Arabidopsis thaliana: one gene and its partners. The protein of the gene in region 1 interacts with the protein of each later gene in a biochemical or structural test. Each region holds a gene or a part of one and is shown on either strand. Other genes may lie near its edges. The genes, in order: AT2G40290, MPK16, MPK4 and MPK5.

Evidence for each region.
Region 2: of the proteins of AT2G40290 (region 1) and MPK16, one has a biochemical effect on the other in vitro, tested with the Arabidopsis thaliana proteins (one large-scale study listed by BioGRID).
Region 3: of the proteins of AT2G40290 (region 1) and MPK4, one has a biochemical effect on the other in vitro, tested with the Arabidopsis thaliana proteins (one large-scale study listed by BioGRID).
Region 4: of the proteins of AT2G40290 (region 1) and MPK5, one has a biochemical effect on the other in vitro, tested with the Arabidopsis thaliana proteins (one large-scale study listed by BioGRID).

The regions. Positions count from the first base shown.
Region 1 is NC_003071.7:16,828,223-16,833,163, reverse strand, and holds AT2G40290 (Eukaryotic translation initiation factor 2 subunit 1), read left to right. Parts: upstream 1-1,937; 5' UTR 1,938-2,274; coding exon 2,275-2,658; intron 2,659-2,788; coding exon 2,789-2,845; intron 2,846-2,924; coding exon 2,925-3,011; intron 3,012-3,094; coding exon 3,095-3,241; coding exon of another isoform or gene 3,242-3,292; exon of another isoform or gene 3,293-3,329; coding exon 3,330-3,434; intron 3,435-3,742; coding exon 3,743-3,841; exon of another isoform or gene 3,842-3,845; intron 3,846-3,978; coding exon 3,979-4,134; 3' UTR 4,135-4,398; downstream 4,399-4,941. Other genes in the region: FER4 (ferritin 4), read left to right, coding at 1-266, 419-502, 587-647, 733-820, 1,078-1,139, 1,257-1,322, 1,427-1,490, 1,626-1,663; AT2G40280 (S-adenosyl-L-methionine-dependent methyltransferases superfamily protein), read left to right, coding at 4,864-4,941. UniProt on the Arabidopsis thaliana protein: Functions in the early steps of protein synthesis by forming a ternary complex with GTP and initiator tRNA. This complex binds to a 40S ribosomal subunit, followed by mRNA binding to form a 43S pre-initiation complex.
Region 2 is NC_003076.8:6,344,270-6,349,832, reverse strand, and holds MPK16 (mitogen-activated protein kinase 16), read left to right. Parts: upstream 1-1,565; 5' UTR 1,566-2,156; coding exon 2,157-2,180; intron 2,181-2,336; coding exon 2,337-2,745; intron 2,746-2,833; coding exon 2,834-2,961; intron 2,962-3,053; coding exon 3,054-3,113; intron 3,114-3,255; coding exon 3,256-3,405; intron 3,406-3,474; coding exon 3,475-3,630; intron 3,631-3,713; coding exon 3,714-3,925; intron 3,926-4,009; coding exon 4,010-4,114; intron 4,115-4,196; coding exon 4,197-4,369; intron 4,370-4,450; coding exon 4,451-4,737; 3' UTR 4,738-5,063; downstream 5,064-5,563. Other genes in the region: BPM1 (BTB-POZ and MATH domain 1), read right to left, coding at 5,192-5,373, 5,468-5,563.
Region 3 is NC_003075.7:564,934-570,846, forward strand, and holds MPK4 (MAP kinase 4), read left to right. Parts: upstream 1-1,983; 5' UTR 1,984-2,285; coding exon 2,286-2,458; intron 2,459-2,589; coding exon 2,590-2,719; intron 2,720-2,787; coding exon 2,788-2,925; intron 2,926-3,114; coding exon 3,115-3,447; intron 3,448-3,527; coding exon 3,528-3,711; intron 3,712-3,783; coding exon 3,784-3,956; 3' UTR 3,957-4,214; coding exon of another isoform or gene 4,215-4,631; 3' UTR 4,632-4,789; coding exon of another isoform or gene 4,790-4,933; 3' UTR 4,934-5,071; coding exon of another isoform or gene 5,072-5,143; 3' UTR 5,144-5,308; downstream 5,309-5,913. Other genes in the region: BPS3 (BPS1-like protein), read left to right, coding at 214-1,260; AT4G01380 (plastocyanin-like domain-containing protein), read right to left, coding at 4,215-4,631, 4,790-4,933, 5,072-5,143; AT4G01390 (TRAF-like family protein), read right to left, coding at 5,309-5,457, 5,541-5,707, 5,796-5,913. UniProt on the Arabidopsis thaliana protein: The ANPs-MKK6-MPK4 module is involved in the regulation of plant cytokinesis during meiosis and mitosis. Essential to promote the progression of cytokinesis and for cellularization (formation of the cell plate) during male-specific meiosis.
Region 4 is NC_003075.7:6,890,089-6,894,794, forward strand, and holds MPK5 (MAP kinase 5), read left to right. Parts: upstream 1-1,837; 5' UTR 1,838-2,054; coding exon 2,055-2,227; intron 2,228-2,481; coding exon 2,482-2,611; intron 2,612-2,681; coding exon 2,682-2,819; intron 2,820-2,895; coding exon 2,896-3,228; intron 3,229-3,324; coding exon 3,325-3,508; intron 3,509-3,584; coding exon 3,585-3,757; 3' UTR 3,758-4,119; downstream 4,120-4,706. Other genes in the region: AT4G11340 (Disease resistance protein (TIR-NBS-LRR class) family), read right to left, coding at 4,120-4,380, 4,551-4,623.

The DNA of each region.
Region 1 (4,941 bases):
AATTTCCATGGCGTGAAGAAGGATGTGTCTCCTTTGTTACCTTCCATTTCATCGAATCTTCGAGTTTCTTCTGGAAAATCTGGAAACTTAACTTTCTCTTTTCGCGCATCTAAAAGCTCAACCACCGACGCGCTAAGCGGCGTTGTCTTCGAGCCGTTTAAGGAAGTAAAAAAGGAGCTCGATCTCGTCCCTACCAGCTCTCATCTCTCACTCGCTCGACAAAAGTACTCAGACGAGTGCGAAGCCGCCATTAACGAGCAGATCAAGTAGGTTATTCTTTCTCACCCCAGTCTCTTAGATTCGGTATTATAATCTGGTTGATTGGCTATAAGATTTGGTAACTTGGAACCTCATGTTGATTCTGCTTATTGTTTATGAACCTGTGAATTTGAAATTCTTCAATGGATTTTGGTTGCAGTGTGGAATACAATGTCTCGTATGTGTATCACGCTATGTATGCTTACTTTGATCGGGATAACATCGCGCTCAAAGGTCTTGCCAAGTGAGTCTCCGGTTATTCAAGAGTGTTGATATTTTCGGATTTTTTTTGTTTATCCATAGTTAATTGTTGGTTTCATGGAATCAGGTTCTTTAAGGAATCAAGTTTGGAAGAAAGAGAGCATGCTGAGAAGTTAATGGAGTATCAGGTCTTATGAAAGTTATTTCCATTTGTTTACCTTATTGGAGCTAATTTGGTTCTAACATGTTTTAGTTTTTTTCCATGAATTGCAGAACAAACGTGGTGGGAGGGTTAAGTTACAGTCCATTGTAATGCCTCTTTCAGAGTTTGAACATGTTGACAAAGGAGATGCTCTTTATGGTAAGCTCAAAAATGCTAACACTAATAATCCCAAGTGAAAAAACTTCTTTAGTTTCATATGTCTGCCACATTCTAAGAAATTAGATATTGACACCAATGATTTTGTTAAGCTTTTGAAGAGATTGCATATTTTCACTAGCAAAGACTGAATTTTATCTGAGTTCTTAAGTATTATGAAAATGTATCTCTCATATGGAGATTCAAGTCTCAATGGATATAGGAATTTTAACATACAATTCTGTGATTTGTTGTTGCAGGCATGGAGCTTGCTCTGTCACTGGAGAAACTAGTTAATGAGAAGCTCTTAAACCTTCACAGTGTAAAGACCATCTCTTCTTGAGTTCATACTATATATGTCAAATCCGTATTTGAGAAGTAAATCTAATCTTCACTCGGCAAGAACTGTTCTCAGTTTGGTAATGCTTTGCTTCAACAGGTTGCTTCGAAGAACAATGATGTCCACTTGGCAGATTTTATTGAGAGCGAGTTTCTGACAGAGCAGGTAATTTATTTGGTGTTCTATGTTAGTGGCAAAGAGCTACTGTTGTATATAAGCTATCAAAGAGAATCTAATAGGAATTTTTGATAAAATAAAACATTTCTCAGGTGGAAGCAATCAAGTTGATCTCAGAATATGTGGCTCAACTGCGACGAGTTGGCAAAGGACACGGTACATAAATAATCTCTCACATTTTGTTCTAATCTATAAATTTATAAAAGAACAAGAAAATCCACTTATTCATCCTACGTCGTGCCTCAAACTTGGTTTTAATATATGTCTTTGAATGCTTGTGGGTAATTTCAGGAACATGGCATTTCAATCAGATGCTTCTGGAAGGGTAAGCAGCTTCGAGGGACTCTTGTGTCTACTGTGTTTCTATATGTGTCTACTTTATGTTTAGTTCTTTAGCTTTTACGATTTTGTGAGGTAGTAGACTTCTTTTTCTGTAAGAGACAAAAGACATGATCACATAACTTTATATTCTGGTATAAGGTTCATCAAACCCACCTGGTGATCGATTCTACATCGGTTCGGTCAGAATGTTTTTGGACTGCCAAATGTGGATTCGAGCTCTAGTTTAGTTTGCTCCGGTTTAAACGCAATTCATGAATAAGCAAAGGAAATCAATCCAAACTTACGTTGTGAAAGAAGTTGGGCCGAAAATGTCTGAAACCCGAATAGGCTTTTAACCCCTAACCCCTTGAAACTATCTTGTGGCCCAATTAAAACCTAATTGTTTAACTGACACGGTGCCGTTTAACTTGGCATCTTTGACGCAAGTCGACTCATTTTCCGTTTGTGTTCCTTGCTCATTTCTTATCTCTAGAAACCTGTCTGATTTGCTCCGTCGCCTAAAAAGTCTAAAACCCTAAGTGTCTCCGCCTCGTAGCTTTACCCGATTCAACGAAGAGTGAATTCGCGTGAGCTCAAGCAGTATCGAAATCTACCAATCATGGCGAGTCAAACACCGAATCTCGAGTGTCGGATGTACGAGGCGAAATACCCAGAGGTGGATATGGCGGTGATGATCCAGGTGAAGAACATTGCCGATATGGGAGCTTATGTTTCTCTCCTCGAGTACAACAACATCGAAGGCATGATCCTTTTCTCCGAGCTCTCTCGTCGTCGGATCCGAAGTGTTAGCAGTTTGATTAAGGTCGGAAGAATTGAGCCTGTCATGGTTCTCCGTGTTGACAAAGAGAAAGGTTACATTGATCTGAGCAAACGTAGAGTCAGCGAGGAAGATATTCAGACTTGTGAAGAGAGGTATAACAAGAGCAAACTTGTTCATTCTATCATGCGCCATGTTGCTGAGACTCTTTCAATTGATTTGGAGGTAAAATATCGTAGTTCAAATCTGGGATTATCTACTGGATTTGGATTTTGCTTGTTAGAGATATTATCAAATATCATAGCTTAGTGATGTGATCGTTGAATAGAAATTGATTTGAGCTTTCATGTTGCAGGACTTGTATGTGAACATTGGTTGGCCTTTGTATCGACGACATGGTCATGCTTTTGAGGTAAGAATTTTGTGAATTGGAGATTCATTGTGTATCTCTATGGTTATTTAGTTCTCATATATAATTTTCTTTTGTTCAGGCTTTCAAGATCTTAGTGACGGATCCTGATTCAGTGTTGGGTCCTCTCACCCGTGAGATCAAAGAAGTTGGGCCTGATGGGCAAGAGGTATATACTTTGTTCTCTGGCATTGTTTTAGCGGTTAGTACTAACTTTATTTGGTGCTAATCTTACAAGTTTTCTGTTTGTAGGTGACTAAGGTTGTACCTGCTGTTACGGAAGAAGTGAAAGATGCACTTGTGAAGAACATTAGGAGGAGAATGACACCACAACCAATGAAAATCCGGGCTGATATCGAATTGAAGTGTTTTCAGTTTGATGGAGTTGTTCACATTAAGGTCGTATCTCTTATTAGATTATCTTTAACTTGTGAAATGAATACATTATGATTTCATTTGATTTTCTCACCCATGCTTGTAATTTCAGGAGGCTATGAAAAATGCTGAAGCCGCTGGAAATGAAGACTGTCCTGTTAAGATTAAATTGGTTGCTCCACCTCTGTATGTCCTTACTACTCAGACACTTGACAAGGTTAGGCAATCTTCTATCTTGCACTATGATTTACTTGGTTTGGTAATTGGTATATTATAGAAATCCTCCCCTACTTATCTTTAAGAGGTTTATGATCTCTGTTTAGATTGTATATCCACTAAAGCTACTTGCCAGAATTTTGAAAACACTGTAGTTGCAAGGAAAGTAAATGCTTAAGAAAACACTGGACATTGCAACTTTGTTTGCCAATTATGTAGCTCTGCGGATTTGTCTTCACTTAAACCATAAATGTGTAAATGCTATGTTTTGTCCCATTTTATCTTCTCAATTTCTCAAATATTAAACAGGAACAAGGGATTGAAATTCTAAACAAAGCCATAGCAGCATGCACTGAGACAATTGAGACACACAAAGGCAAGCTTGTCGTTAAGGAGGGGGCTAGAGCTGTGAGTATCTTAAATTAGTTTTTTTTAAGTGATGAACCGTCTCGAGTTGCATGTCACAAGAACGAGCTTTTCTTTTGTGTTTTGTTTAATTTGGTTCACAACCGCCTATTAATGTTTATAATCTATGTCAAATATAGGTGAGTGAACGTGATGAAAAGATGCTGACAGAACACATGGCTAAGCTACGTCTTGACAATGAAGAAATGAGCGGCGATGAAGATAGCGGAGACGAAGAAGAGGACACTGGTATGGGCGAAGTGGATCTCGATGCAGGTGCCGGAATCATCGAGTAAGATTGCCGGATTTTTCTTTCTATTAAATCTACCCAATCTCAACAGTCCCAGTATTTTGGTTTAAGCTTTGACAAGGCAGTAGAAAAACCTCCGAGAGGATTTATGTGCTTTTTGATGACTCTGAGGCATTTTATTTTACCCATAGGGGGTGGTTACATATCAATCATACATTCATGGTTTTATAAAAGATTTGATTCTTTGCATATGTTACTACTGCTCAAGAATATGTTGCTCCACCACATGACTCATTATTATCTTAGGAAAACTTTGGCTCAATATGATCATACTTTTGAGTTTAAACCTCAGGAAAGTAGGTTGATTGGATCTGGCAATGATAGGTGTGTAGATTTAATTCAGATCTGATGTCTCCGAAGATGCAGATATTCATCAATTACTACTGCGATCTTCTATTGAGAAAATTTACCAAAAATGAAATTCTTAAAAATCCTCTGTCTGATACATAAATGGTTAACTTGCAATTGATTCATAATTAAAATGATTTATTACAAGATCAAACATCTTGTCTTATACTACTAATCAGAAAAGAAAAATTCTTTCGGACACAAATCCTTTTTTAATCTGTCGGCGCATTAAAAATTACTTAAGCTCTCTCTGCAAAATCGAAATGTGAAAGTTGCGACTTTTGGAGCTCAGCTCAGCTCACACTTTCCTCTTCCTCTTACCTGAAACGCGTCTCGTAACACTGATCTCTAATGATCTTCGTCTCCAATGGCGATATCAGTACAACACGTCGTCGTTTTACTCCTCTCCACTCTCCTCATCGCCATCACCTTCTTCCTCTTCACC
Region 2 (5,563 bases), on another chromosome or scaffold:
CTGAAGCTGTCGAACCTGAGGCTGTTGTAGCTAACCCAAACACTGGGTCATCTCCATCTGAGGCTTTCTAACATTCTGTATTAAGTTTCTTTTTCACTCATCAAAACTTGAATCTTTTGTTGGTTTGTTATGTAAAATTATTTGGCCTTCTAACATTCTGTATTCAGTTTCTTTTTCTGTACTTGAAACCTAAAATTTCAGCTTTTAAATATGAGTTTAAGGTTTCTTAATTAGTATTCAACTTCAAAGTTTAGTATAAAAATCCAATTAAGATAACCATTAAATATTGTTAAGTAGAACAGTAATCCCTATATTCAACAGTAATCATGCTTAAAACAAAACAGAAAAGAGTCGCTTATTTACCGCGAATCCATCGCAAACTTTACTACGGATTTGCGACTACAGATAAAAGCCACGCAAATCCATCGCAAATTTTGCGAGGCATTAGCGGGACAAAGAATTTGCGACTACTTTGCTACTGAAGTATTCCCTCGCAACTTGCGAGGAAAGAGCGAGGCTACTGTTGCAGCTAATATGCTACCGAGTACGTCCCTCGCAAATTGCGTGTGCTTCGCGAGTCTGGTCGTCCGTCGCAACTAGCGAGAAACTTGCGAGACCCGAAATTTGCTGTGAATTTGCTACGGATTGCTTCCCTTGCAAATTGCGTGTGTTTTGCGAGGCAACTTGTTCCTCGCAACATTTGCGAGGAACTTGCTACGAATTTGATTTTACGACGCGCGTTTTGCGAGGAACTGGAGTTCGTCGCAATTCCCTCGCTAAATGCTTTTTGCGAGAGACTAGCGACGGTTTCTTCCCTCGCAACTGGCGTGTTTTCTTGTAGTGACATCTACTTGAAGATTTAAAGCTTCGCTTTATTTATACGTTTGAAATCGATGCAAATGCAATTTTTCCAACCATGCAAAAGTTTACGCATGCAAGCACCTACAGTTATGAAGCAATTTCAAAGAACCCACCAAAGACAGAAGATATTAGATACGAAATACATATTTCAAATAAAATACTAGATTGACGATTGCATATATAAGTTTTTGTAAGTTTCTTGTACCATTGTACATAACTCATAAATATTGTCTCTAGATAATTAAGTATGTCTTATCGGTCAAATTCTATATCTTAAAAATAAGTAAGATTACTCATTAACTGCATACGAAAAAAAATTTAAACCACTCATTTCAATCGGATTCGAAATATAGGATAATCCACTTCATTTATATGTCTTTAACAACGACTATGACACGAAAGAAAATTATAAAGTAAACGAACTATTTATTATTGTAATAATTATAAGTCATCACTAATCCATAATAAATCGGATATCTATTCATTAAGAAGAGCATATATTAAAATAGTTTATACAAAAATATCCACACTGTATTATATTCGACGTTTGGACATTATCCAAAAGCTAGATTTAAGACAAAAGTCGCAAGTACCCATAAACCTTGGGGGGCAAATTGGAGTTTTCGTACAACGATAATCAGACTCCACTTATCCGCTTTTTTCAATTATCACAATAAAAGAAACGAATAATAATAATATTTTAATAATTTGTTCTGTTCTGTTCTTCATCTCATAGATCTCTCCTCTCTACACTTTCTTCTACAAAAGTGAGCAAATAAACTTGCCTCTTCGTCTGCTTCGTGAGATTTCAGATCCTGTAAAGAAATTTTATTAGCTCAAAAGAATCATTTTTGGGTTTCTGAACCATAAAAGCTTCTCTCGACTTTCAAAAACTCTCTCCTTTTTCCTTTTAGCCATTTCAAGCAGAGAGATTGATCGAAGAAGATAAAAACCTCGTCTTTCTTCAATCTCAGTGATTCTCAAATTACCCATCGCTTCCTTCTTTTGATCTCTTTGATTTCACTTCAAAAAGCAAAGAAATCTCGATTAGGTTATTCCTTGTTTCACCCCATAAATTTGCCTCCTTTTTTTTGGTCTCGGGAACTACTCTGATTTGTTTCAATCGATTCTGGATTTCGGGATTTGGATATAGAGCTCTCTGTTTTTGACATTGCCTTTGGAACTAAAATTCTCAGTCTTTGCATTTTTTTGATTCAAAAGCTCACTAAGTTTGGGTTTCAGAAGCTATTACATTTGGTCTTCGTAAGCGTCCTTTGAATGCCCTGTAGCTGAAGATGCAGCCTGATCACCGCAAAAAGGTCCAATTTTTCAATCTCTTATGTATCAGATTTGCTTATTAGAACTGATTAGGATCTGTAGCAATCCTTTTTACTGTTACTGCCTTTTAGTTTAGTCCTAATCTTTCTCTGTATTGAAGCTTTTGATATTGACAATAGATTTTTCTGTATATTCAGTCATCAGTTGAGGTAGATTTCTTCACGGAATATGGTGAAGGAAGCAGATACAGAATAGAGGAAGTGATTGGTAAAGGAAGTTATGGAGTTGTCTGTTCTGCTTACGATACACATACCGGAGAGAAAGTTGCGATTAAGAAAATCAATGATATCTTTGAGCATGTTTCGGATGCAACTCGCATTCTTCGTGAGATCAAACTTCTTAGACTCTTACGCCATCCTGACATTGTTGAGATCAAACACATCTTGTTGCCGCCTTCAAGAAGAGAGTTTCGAGACATTTACGTGGTTTTCGAGCTTATGGAATCTGATTTGCATCAGGTTATTAAGGCAAATGATGATTTGACTCCTGAGCATTATCAGTTTTTCCTCTATCAGCTTCTTCGTGGCCTCAAGTATATACACACAGGTTAAGCTAGCGAGCAATAAAATTTCATTGATTAGTATAAGTTTATGATTATCTTTCTGAAAATACTTTTTTTTTCTCTTCCTTTCAGCTAATGTCTTTCATCGGGATCTTAAACCCAAAAACATATTGGCAAATGCTGATTGCAAACTCAAGATCTGTGATTTTGGACTTGCAAGAGTCGCATTCAATGATACACCGACTGCGATATTCTGGACTGTGAGTAGTAGTAATTTAAATGCTTACTCTTTACAAGTTTACTCTTTTTGGTATGAAACCAATTTTTTATTCCTACTGCTTTCTGATCGCAGGATTATGTAGCTACTCGATGGTACAGGGCTCCAGAACTATGTGGATCTTTTTTCTCAAAGGTGACCATGATTTTGTATATATACTTTCATCGAATGTTTCAAATTTTCATAGGGAATCTAGTCAGTAGACACTATAGCTCTCTCATTCAGATTATAAAATTTTATGGTAACATTTTTTTTCTTTATCTATGCTTCTGTTCAGTATACACCGGCAATAGATATATGGAGCATCGGGTGCATTTTTGCAGAACTCTTAACAGGGAAACCTCTTTTCCCCGGGAAAAATGTGGTCCATCAATTGGATCTGATGACGGATATGCTGGGAACTCCATCTGCTGAAGCCATTGGAAGGGTATGTGTTCCTTTCCACAATGCTTAAGCATTGTTTCTTTTTTTGGCTGAATTTCTTACACTGAAACAGGTTAGGAACGAGAAAGCTCGAAGATACTTGAGCAGCATGAGGAAGAAGAAGCCTATTCCTTTTTCACATAAGTTCCCACATACTGATCCTCTTGCTCTTCGTCTTCTAGAAAAGATGTTGTCTTTTGAACCCAAGGACCGGCCTACAGCTGAAGAGGTGGTTCATACATTTCGTTCTTTACACTCCTTATGATGTAACTTTGGTTATAGCTAACTAAATGGTTTTATGTGTTACCTCAGGCGCTTGCAGATGTGTACTTCAAGGGTTTAGCTAAGGTTGAAAGAGAGCCTTCTGCTCAACCTGTCACAAAGTTGGAATTTGAGTTTGAAAGGCGGAGGATCACAAAAGAAGACGTCCGAGAGCTCATATACAGAGAGTCTCTGGAGTACCACCCAAAGATGCTGAAAGAATACTTGGATGGATCAGAGCCAACTAACTTTATGTACCCGAGGTACCGGCCTGAGCTGACCTGCTTCATACTATACTCCTGTGTATTATCCATGTTCTTATGGTTAATGTATTATTCATTCTGCAGTGCGGTGGAACATTTCAAGAAACAATTTGCTTACCTCGAGGAACACTACAAGAATGGTACTTCTCATAATCCCCCTGAGAGGCAACAGCATGCATCATTACCAAGGTATGCTTTACGTCCTTTAAAAATTTGATCATTTGGGATTCTTTCGAAACAGCTCAACAAAGCCTCTTTTTATGTTTTGCAGGGCTTGCGTATTGTACTCTGATAACAATCATCCGGTGGCACAACAGAGTTCAGCTGAAGTCACTGATGGACTCTCCAAGTGTAGCATTAGAGACGAGAGACCTCGGGGTGCAGACAGGAATGCCCAGATGCCAATGTCGAGAATTCCTATCAACGTCCCTCAAACAATCCAAGGTCTCTCACCCTCTCTGTATATAATGTTATGATGCAGAATAACTCTGTCTCCTGAACATTTATCTGGTTGTAATGAAGCAGGTGCTGCAGTAGCTAGGCCTGGTAAAGTAGTTGGATCAGTGTTACGCTATAACAACTGCGGCGCAGCCACAGGCGTTGAAGCTCTTGAACAACAACAGAGAAGGATGGTCAGAAATCCAGCTGCTGCGTCTCAATACCCAAAGAGGACTCAACCTTGCAAAAGCAACAGAGGAGATGAAGATTGCGCCACCGCTGCTGAAGGTCCAAGTAGATTGAAGCCAAACACTCAGTATATACCACAAAAAGTGTCTGCAGCACAAGATACTGCAATGAGTCGCTGGTATTAAACATGATGTTATGGTTCTAGTTTTAGCTTTACCACCTCACGTCTCAGGGAGAGCTAAAAAGAGTATCCCTTTGAGTCATCCATTGTGTTATCAAGAGCCGAAACGTGAAGACATGCTTAAGAGCGAAATGAGAGAAGGAAGCGTGAGAAGATAAAAGAAGTTCTTACAGATCCTGTCATGTAATTTGTCTTCATAGTTTTGTATTCTTAAAACAACCTTTGTTTATCTACGTTGTAACACTTACACTGTCTACGATTCTTATATCCCATGAACTCAATCTGTTTCACCTAATAATCTGATATGCACCAACAATAAACCCCAAATTTCATTGGATCTTTGATTTATGAGAAAACGCGTTGAAAACGATTCATTGTACTTGCTAGATCCGATTAGATCAGCCATTATCCATAACAGAGATTATACAATGCACAAATCTTTCTTCTTTCTCTCCCATTCAGTGCAACCGGGGCTTCACTCGTCTTCCACTCGCGTCACAACCATCGGCAAATATTTCTTTTCGATGTCCAGATACTATAACAGAGTGTTCACTTAGCCTCGCCACATACTGCAATAGCTCCGTTAGTAAAGATGGGCAACTCTCTTTCAGATAATCAAACCCATCTGTTTGCATCACAGCTGATCATAACAAAAGGGAAAAAACAGACACAAGTCTCATCATGTGAACAGAGTTGATTCAGATCGATTAAAAAGAAAGATCTTGTGTGTTTACCTTTCAGGTTCTCTGGCAGTGCCACGAATTTGAGACACACTGCTTTTAGCTGCAAACAATGATGCTGCTCTGCTAGGGCCAAAGTAGTTGCAACCG
Region 3 (5,913 bases), on another chromosome or scaffold:
ATTGAAGTAAGCGGTAACATTTCGGAAGAATCTCTTTCTTTAGGTGAGTTTTCGTTAATCTTCGGCGAGTTTGGTTAAAGTAATGGTTTTTGTTCTGTCTTTGCATTCTTGAGATCTATTGATTCGGATTTTGGATTCAGAACAATGTTATTGGTTTGCTCATTGTTTCAGATTACTAACTTTGTTTCTTCTTTCTGTGTGTTTTCAGTTGATATGAGCCAACAACGTACACGCTCTCGGAACCCGTTCAAGATTCTGTTTACGAAGAAGAACAATGCTCGATTATCGCCAAAGCTTCTCTCACTGTTGAACAATTTCGAGACTAACTTGACGGTATCGATTAGAGAACTTGTACCAAAGGATAAGAATGATATCGTTAGTGTTTCTTGGATGATACAAGCCATGCAGTCTCTTTGTGAGACACACAAGAGTATCAGGACGCTCGTGAAGGATTTAGAGGTTCCAGTATCGGATTTGGAGGAGAATTTCATTTATATCTTCTCTGACTTTAGCTTGAAGCGGGAACTCTGCAACGCCTTTACCTCAGAGATATATCATTTGGAACATGGCAATCTATTACTAAAGTTTGCTTTTAGTAAGCTGGAGACAAACAGTGGCAATATTCTTCAGCGTTGGAATCAGCACATGGTTTCCAAGAACCCGAGTATCGAAAACTGGGGCGCGGTTTTGAGTAGGCTGGTTGAATCGATGGATCATCATCATCATATCTCCAAGAAGGGGAAGAAGAAATACTCTGCGGAAGGAAAAGTTCTCTTACGAGTTTTATACGGTGTAAAGGTCAAGACTTTATACATATTCAGCGTGTTTGATGCATCGTTCTCGGGTTCTTCCAAGAATCTCTTCTATCTAACCATTCCAAAGGAGATGGAGGAGCTTCCATGGGTTCAAGCTTTCATGGAACTGCAGAACACTATTAACCCGGAGATCAAAAACACATTTTTATCAGACGGATTCACGGTTATAAAAGATCTCGAGGCTGTTGAAACCGGTGTGAAGAAGCTTTACACAGCGGTACAAGAAGGGTCGGTTCCTATTTTGTTAGTGGAACCATTGGAGAAGTCAGTGATAGAACTTTCGGAAAGGTTTGAGCTAGTCTCCAAGGAAACACGTTGCTTGTCGAAGATGGTGATCTCTGCCCGAGACGCATTGTTGGAGAGCCTGTGGACGAAATGCGCAGAAGAGCTAGGAGTGACATTGCCAACGATGGTTAAAAGTGTTAATATAGAGGAAAAGAGCTAAGACTTGTTTGTGAATATAGAGGAAACATGTAATTATGGTATCGTTGATGTTAAGTAATAACAAATGCAGATAAAAATGAGACTTTAAAACGCTTCAAATATTGATAACTCTCTCTTTTCAATCGGTGCTAAGCTATAACTACATTTTCAAGTTAGTCAGAATTGTGCTTTAGTTCATCTTAGTTGATAATGGATAAGTGATGGGTTTGCTTGAGGCCCATTGTAAATCACTAGACCAAAAAAAATCAGTGTTATTTTCATGGTTACATGATCAATCAATCAAAGCAAACCAGATATTCTAGCTATTAATAATAACAAATGCACCAAACTTCAACATGGTTATATAAGTTGTTTAACCATGATTTTTTAAAAAAAATCAAAATGATGTCATTTTATCTTATACATAAACCTTTTTTCACTAATGGTTTTGGAATCAAAGGTCAGTTTTATGGTCAAAAACAATTTGGCCGCCCATTGACTTGTACACCACCAATATACCAAGTCGTACTTAAATTCTTATTGGAGAAAAGTTGTCATCTAGATTCTTTTAAACTTTATAATATGATATCAAGAACATTCCTACATGAAGTCATTAACTTGTTCCATTCTACAAACTTCATCAATTACATTTTTTCGGCAAAAGTCATAACCATATCTAATCTCTACTTCGTGGGATAACGCGATTTAGTAGAAGCAAACTCCAGTAAACAAAACTTAACCAATTGACTAAAAACACTTACCCGTTCCTCAATTACTTAGAGACACAATCATCGGATATACCCAACTCGATACCATAAACAAAATTGAAAATTGACATTACAAAGAAAAAGAACAAAAACCAAAGAAGAAGACGCAAACCCGGTTTAAGGGTCACGGGTGACTCGAGAGGAGACTTCCTCTTTACCGTTCAATAAAAAAAAAAGGGTAAAGGTAGAGACTTTATAACGAAATGTCAACACCCATCTTCTCGATTCCTCAATTTCTCTAGGGTTCTTCGTTTTCGTTGTTGTGAGGAATTTTGCTCCGATGTCGGCGGAGAGTTGTTTCGGAAGCTCGGGTGATCAAAGCAGCAGCAAAGGAGTGGCTACTCATGGTGGTAGCTATGTTCAGTATAATGTCTATGGCAATCTCTTCGAAGTTTCTAGAAAGTATGTTCCTCCTCTTCGTCCTATCGGTAGAGGCGCTTATGGAATTGTCTGGTGAGTTCCAAAATTAATCAGATTGGGTTTTTGAAACATGTAATGTTCACTTCTGGGGTTCTTAGATTTGGGAATTAGGGTTTTGGAATCTGTTGTTATTATAATAACTTGTGTTGATAATTGTTGATCAGTGCTGCTACAAACTCAGAGACTGGAGAGGAGGTAGCTATCAAGAAGATTGGTAATGCTTTTGACAATATTATCGATGCTAAAAGGACTTTGAGAGAGATTAAGCTTCTCAAGCATATGGATCATGAAAATGTACGTGTTACTAATCATCAGCATCTCTGGTTTTTTTTGTGTGAATCTTATATTGGTTTATTGTGCAGGTGATTGCTGTAAAGGATATAATAAAACCACCGCAGAGAGAGAACTTCAATGATGTTTACATTGTTTATGAGCTTATGGACACTGATCTCCACCAAATTATTCGCTCTAACCAACCCTTAACTGATGATCATTGTCGGGTATGCATCAATCTCCATCTTGCTTATATCTAGCAGCTGAATCTTCTGTTTCTACTTTAGAAGCAGCTGTTATTGTGTTAGAGCATCTGATGAGTATTGCTTGATACTTTATAAGTGAGAGCTAATAAGGATTTCGTTTGTTATGCTTTGAAGTTGTGTTTAGTAATTAGTTTCGATTATGTTTTGCAGTTTTTTCTGTATCAGTTGTTGCGTGGGCTCAAATATGTTCATTCAGCTAATGTATTGCATCGAGATTTGAAACCTAGCAATTTGCTCCTGAATGCAAATTGTGATCTAAAGCTTGGGGATTTCGGGCTTGCGAGGACCAAATCCGAGACTGACTTTATGACTGAATATGTTGTTACACGTTGGTATCGAGCTCCAGAGCTGCTACTTAATTGCTCTGAATACACAGCAGCAATTGATATTTGGTCTGTCGGTTGTATACTCGGTGAAACAATGACACGAGAGCCCTTGTTTCCCGGTAAAGATTATGTTCATCAGCTTAGACTCATCACTGAGGTAATCTAGTTTAGTATGTTTCATCCAAAGAATCACCACTTAGTCTCTCTTCACGGTATTAATGAATCTTTGGAAAGCAGCTTATAGGATCTCCTGATGACTCAAGCTTGGGATTCTTAAGAAGTGACAATGCAAGAAGATACGTTAGACAGCTTCCACAGTACCCTAGACAGAACTTTGCTGCTAGATTCCCAAACATGTCGGCTGGTGCAGTCGATTTGCTGGAGAAAATGCTTGTTTTTGATCCAAGCAGACGCATCACAGGTGAGTTATATTTTATATAACTGCTTCTCTGTTTCTTCGGCTATTTTCTGAACATGTTTTTTGTGTGTGTAGTTGATGAGGCGTTGTGCCACCCATATTTGGCGCCGCTGCATGATATCAACGAAGAACCGGTATGTGTGAGGCCGTTCAATTTTGATTTCGAGCAACCTACTTTGACAGAAGAGAACATTAAGGAGCTTATATACCGTGAAACAGTCAAGTTCAATCCTCAAGACTCAGTGTGAGAGAAAGAGAGAGAGATATATATCCTTAAAAGGAAACTCATCAAAATGCTATGTTTTGTTTTGCTCTGCTTTTGTTATCAAATCTCTGATAAGTTTGATAATATGTCTGTAATTTGAATAACATCCTAAAAAATTGGAAAAAAAGAAAAGAACAACCTTTGAGCTGTGTTTTGCAATAGAGTGTATTTAAATTTCCTTACTTTTTAGTCGAAAGAAAATACAGAGAAGTCTTAACTCTAATTACATCCACTAATTATCTTAATGATGGGGTTGAGGTCCGAAGGTGCGTAACCATCTGTTGAAGCGGTCCATAAGTGACAACTCTATCTTCTTCGTCGGAACATTGGGGACAGGTACGGCTTTGGTGAGTGGTCCGACCACGACTCGTAGCTTAAGCCCAGCGTAACAGTGACCTGGAGTCTTAGAGCTAATGAAATAATGGACTCCTGGTTCTGTGAGCGTGACGAGATCGTGGCCTGTCATGTGCACGGCTACGGGAGAAATCGGGTAGCAGGATATGAATTCAAGGTCCCCGCTGATCTCTAAGACGTCGTTGACTTCGTTGTCGTATTCGAAAAGAAGACTGTCTCCGATCGGAAACTGCGTCTTCTCACTCCATCTGTAATAAAAGTAACTTTCTTGCGGAACACTCCATCCCTTGGAGCCACACCAACTCTGTAGATATTTCAAGGAGGAAGGATCTTGCTCGGTGGTGTTGGAGGAATGGGACGTGACGAGTCATGAACGACAAGAATGTCGAGCTTCTGTCCCGATGCGCATTGAGCATGGTTTGAGCTGATGAACTAGTGAAAACCTGGTTCCGTGAGGGTTACGATATCGTGTCCAGGGTTGTAGACGGCTTTAGGAGAAGAAGAGTCGCAGAACTCGTATTCCAAAGCGCCGGAGACTTGAGTGACGTCGTTGAGGTTGTGATTGTGTTCGAAGATCAAAGAATCCCCAACGTGGAACACAAGTTTCTTTTGGCAAACAAATTATGTCTTTTCTTTTGGCGTTTTTCTCATATATATAGGTAGTAAAAGCAATGGAATGCTCACGATTCCTTGAAAAAAAAACAAGATCTTATTTGCAAAACAAAACTAACAAGAAACAATAACGATTGAGAACCAAGTCTCTATAGTTGATAAACTGGGCTTATGAAATCTTGTAGATTGTCTTGTTATGCCCATAAACTGAAAATACACGCCAAGCACATCATCTTCATCTCCAGCAACACGTACGTCGACACACATCACAAGTCATTACGGCATCAGTAGCTTAGTTACATAATAGTACTATATATATTCTCCAGCATTTTATTCATACGTTATAAATATTTCTTGCTGATTATATAGCTAACAGTAATTAGAGACGGAAATGACATCAAAGTCAACTCCCACATAAAGCTTATCCTTCACCAAATAAGGGTCATCAAGTTCCCCTAGAGGCATGAAATCCGCAAAGCCATGGCGGTCATCAGGTTCTGCACCAAGCCAACCCGAAACTATACGTACCAGGAGAAAAAGATTAGTACTGTATTTAACCATCATGCATCACAAGACTTTCCAAAACATAATAAACACATACTTGTTTTCTCAACATGATTCCTGCTAACTTGATCCAATACACGCAGCTTGAACCTCGCGTAAGTTTTAGTCTTTGGTGCATTATTGACAAACCCTAGTGCCGATAGATACACAGAAAATGATTTGTCTTTTTCACCCATAGACCCTCTTGGATGAACTTTAATTCTCCTGATCAAATATATTGTGATGCATTTTTATTAGTATTATATATAAGTTGTGTTATGTTTTTGGGAAAAAGGAGGAATATAATATCAACCATTTCCGGGTTCCAACGACAAATTCATTAGACTGATGAACGTTTCCAGGGTTGAAGGACGAGAACATGGTCATCATCCAAGTGACTCTGTGATTAAGAGGCTTCTCTATTAAGCTAA
Region 4 (4,706 bases), on another chromosome or scaffold:
AAAGAACATGTTAAATTTAAACCTACTAATTTCCGATTTAAATTTCTTAATCTTGTTACTATGAACCAAAAATTACACAATCTTTTCCCACGGAACAAAGATTATTTATTAGTATCCATATACATACAAATATACAATACACTCAAGCCACTCATATTTCGTACTTGATCAAGATATTTTCCCCCGGTAAAATCCAATTTAGAATTGTACAACATATATATTGGAAGTTCCGTTGTGTCATACCGTCACACTAATAATACAGCATACCAATAATAGAGCGCAAACGTTTCACATTGAATAGTTCACCACATATCAACTTGAGTAAATTATTATGCTTAGAGTTGTTGTCTTTTTGTTTTTTTATTTTTTTTGAATATCTGGAAATTCAAACTCAAAGACCTTACATTTTCTAGAGGCGGGATCCACACCAGATTAAATTCATATCCTTTGGGAAAGAAATCTCTTCCAACATGCCTCAAACCCAGTATTTCTAACTGAGAGATTTACCTACATAATTCAACAATCATGTCTATTATGTTTTCAATTTAGGATATCTAAAAATATTGTGAAGATAAACGAAACAAAACTTGAGGGAAAAAAAACAGTCACGTGAGTCATGAGTTATAAAGCATGGATAATGTTGGAGATCTAATTAATCTAATTGAATGCCACATCAAATTAAGCCAATCAGTGGAGAAGATCAATAATAAAAGTGAATTGGATCTGCCACTACACTTTTAGCATGAATATGGCTAAAAGAGATTGGTATTGGTAATGGTATCGTTGTCGGAGATTGTCGTACCAATTAAATAACATGTAATTATTGGATATATATTATATTGTGTCGGCCTAGTCATATTTGATGTGTAAGTGCGAGTGATTTGAGTTAGATATGGGGTATTTTACGAGGAAAATATTGAACAATTTAGGGTATTTTAAGGGTTGTAGTTTGAGCATCACAAGTTAATTATATTTAGGTTCTGCGTAAATTTGACTCAAAAGATTAAGTTATCAAAAGAAACCTCGTATAATATGATCCATATTAATTTTCTTTTTTTTATATAGAAAAGTTGAAGATTATGAGTAAATTGGTAAACTCGCGATATTCCAGAGTTCAAAACGTAATTTTAATGACAATTTGGTGAATAGTATAAATTAATATATTAAGTAAAAGATAACATTCTATTCGATATTGGTTTAATATGTCAACTGTTATATGTACATATAAGATGTTACTGATATATTAAGTGAATAATATGATATTCACCAAAAAAAATTGTATAATGAATGTGACTTTGAGTTGAAAGTTTGAAAACGAAGAGACTATAACATTTGAAGGAATCTATGGAATACGGGTGTGGAACCAATAGTGGAGGCCCTCTTCATAAACCGAGTTTCCCGAGATCCAAATTGTGCTGATGGAGCGGTTTCTAACGTTCTTGTCGATAATACTTGCAAGCTTGGCCGAAGGAACAGAAGAGTTACCATGACGTCTACCATTACGCTCGCACCACAAAGTATGAATTGATTATATGGAATACATACCTTAGAATGAAAGTATGTAGTTTTGGATGAGAATCATCAAGTAGAAGAGGAGAGATTAAACTCCAACTTGTATTGTATCTCAGTATCTGTTGCGAAGAATTCCTTTAGTGAGAGATGTGTATTGATAGGTGAAAAGGAAAAGGTCTCTTACTTTCATATTACGTGGGCCTCATAACATAGACCAGAGCTGATAGCATACCTCTCTCTATATTAAATAGATGGGCCAGGCCCAAACGTTTACCCATCTGTATTTATTACAAAGTACACGTGGCTGATGGACATGTGACGATACGTTTTGACCTATTCAAAATATTCAAACTAATGAAAAAGAGTCGTTGTCCTCTGACGCGTCTCTCTCTATCTCCTTAGATTTTCAAAGTTTTCAACATTCAACAAAATCATTATTTTAATTTTGCAGAGACGAATCGAATCGATCTCATCTCCAAAAATCTTGTATTCAAAGTTTGATTTTCTGGGTTTCTTCTGTATTATCTCGATATTTGAAAAAAATGGCGAAGGAAATTGAATCAGCGACAGATTTAGGTGATACTAACATCAAAGGAGTTCTTGTTCATGGAGGAAGATATTTTCAATACAATGTTTATGGAAACTTGTTTGAAGTTTCTAATAAGTATGTTCCTCCTATTCGACCTATTGGTAGAGGAGCTTACGGTTTTGTCTGGTACAACTTCTACCCTTTTGTGTATTTCATATTCTTGTTTCTTACTTAGTATTTGTAACCCTAATTAGATAAAGAACTAAGTATTGGTATAGGTTTTTGAATTAGGGTTGCTTGCAAAATTTGATCTTTTTTGGATTTAAGAAAGGTTCTGTCTTCAAAATCATAGTTTAAATTGAATGAATTTGATGATTTGTTTGTGTTTGTGTTTATGTATAAGCAAAATGATTCATGAGAGTATTGGTTTATTGTTATAGTGCTGCAGTAGATTCGGAGACACACGAAGAGATTGCGATAAAGAAGATAGGTAAAGCCTTTGATAATAAAGTAGATGCAAAGAGAACATTGAGAGAGATTAAGCTACTTCGTCATTTAGAACACGAGAACGTAAGTTTTGTACTCTATTTTCGCGGTAAACGATTAGAGTTTCTAGCTAATGTGGTCTTGACTTGTACAGGTTGTTGTTATAAAAGATATCATTAGACCACCAAAGAAGGAAGATTTCGTTGATGTTTATATAGTTTTTGAGTTAATGGATACTGATCTTCATCAGATTATTCGATCAAACCAATCTTTGAATGATGATCATTGTCAGGTACGGTTTTTACTCTGCTATATTTGATACTATGGTTGATTTAATCACAAGTGATTCACTTTTTCTTCTTTTGCAGTACTTCTTGTATCAGATTCTACGAGGACTCAAATATATTCATTCAGCAAATGTTTTACATCGTGACCTTAAGCCGAGTAATTTGCTTTTGAATTCGAATTGCGATCTTAAGATTACTGACTTTGGTTTGGCAAGGACTACATCAGAAACAGAGTATATGACAGAGTATGTTGTAACACGATGGTACAGAGCACCAGAGCTGCTTCTTAATAGTTCTGAGTATACATCTGCTATTGATGTATGGTCTGTTGGTTGCATATTTGCTGAGATTATGACAAGGGAACCGCTTTTCCCGGGGAAGGATTACGTTCATCAGCTTAAACTTATCACTGAGGTATGATGTTCTGTTTTAGAAAGATCTGTACAAATGTTGGAAACTTTTATTTGTGTGTTGCAATGTGTTTATGAGTTGTTTCATGTGGTTGAGTAGTTGATAGGATCACCTGATGGAGCGAGTCTAGAGTTTCTCAGAAGCGCGAACGCGAGAAAATATGTTAAGGAGCTACCTAAGTTCCCAAGACAAAACTTTTCAGCTAGGTTTCCTAGTATGAATTCTACAGCTATCGATCTACTAGAGAAAATGCTCGTGTTTGATCCAGTAAAACGTATCACGGGTATGATGAGAAAAATTGTACATAGCGAGATTGGCATATGGGTGATGAATCCTTGATCATACTCTTTGTTTTGCAGTTGAGGAAGCACTGTGTTATCCTTACTTGTCAGCTCTTCACGACCTTAACGACGAGCCTGTTTGTTCCAACCATTTCAGTTTCCATTTTGAGGATCCGTCTTCCACTGAAGAAGAGATAAAGGAGCTTGTGTGGCTCGAATCTGTGAAGTTCAATCCTCTGCCGAGCATTTAAAACATTATTTAAGAAGGGGAAAGCAAGTTTTATACTCTGACATTGAGCAAAACAAATTAGTAGTGTTTAAGCTCTGTTTCTCCTTCATCTCATGTTGATCGTTGTTTAAGCTATTTCACTAGTTAAAAAAGCTGTCTTGCAACTCAAGAAATTGTTCTATAAGGATCCTTGTAACCCAAGACATATCTTTAGTAGTTATGTCCATTCTTATTATCAGGATGTCTTAGATAGTGTTCTGTTTCTTCTACATATCATGTTGTTATCTTGTAACTCAAGAAATTAAATTAAAAAGCTATCTTTGTTTAGACTTGTATCATGTCACTTGGATTGTACTCGTAGAAAATGGGAAAAACTCGATGTGTTTATTCATCTCCAGCAGTTTCTTCAAGCACTACGTCGAGCTCTTGCAAATTTTGGTAATGAACACTAGTTCGATCCTTCACTCTCGAAACTCGACAAAAAAGTCTATCAACTTCGTCTCTTGACTCTATTCGAGTGATATTTTCATCATCTAGAAGGACGTTGATCCCACTCCTTCGTAACGCGGCTCTAAGAAGGCTGGAGAACTTGTTGCGGATCTCTCGACTCCGAAAACTTATGTAAACTTGATGTTGCGGCGTAATCTAGAGATTTTACAATGATTAGCCACTAGATTTATACAATAATTATATATATATAATTAACATACAGTATGTTCTTTTGTACACACCTTTTTTTTTTCTTTGTCATTGGCAATATTTCAATTTCTCTAATTCTAGAACTACATAATTTTTGATTTAATAGGATTACGTACGTGTGATGAGGAAACGTTGTCAAGCATTGCCTTAACCTTCTCGACGATTTCATTTACGAAGGTTGCTTGGTTGCTTCCAAAACAAAGTAAGAAAGAAAACAAATCATATAAGTATGATAACAATGTCGCAAATGGAAGAAACTACTGTTAAATGAC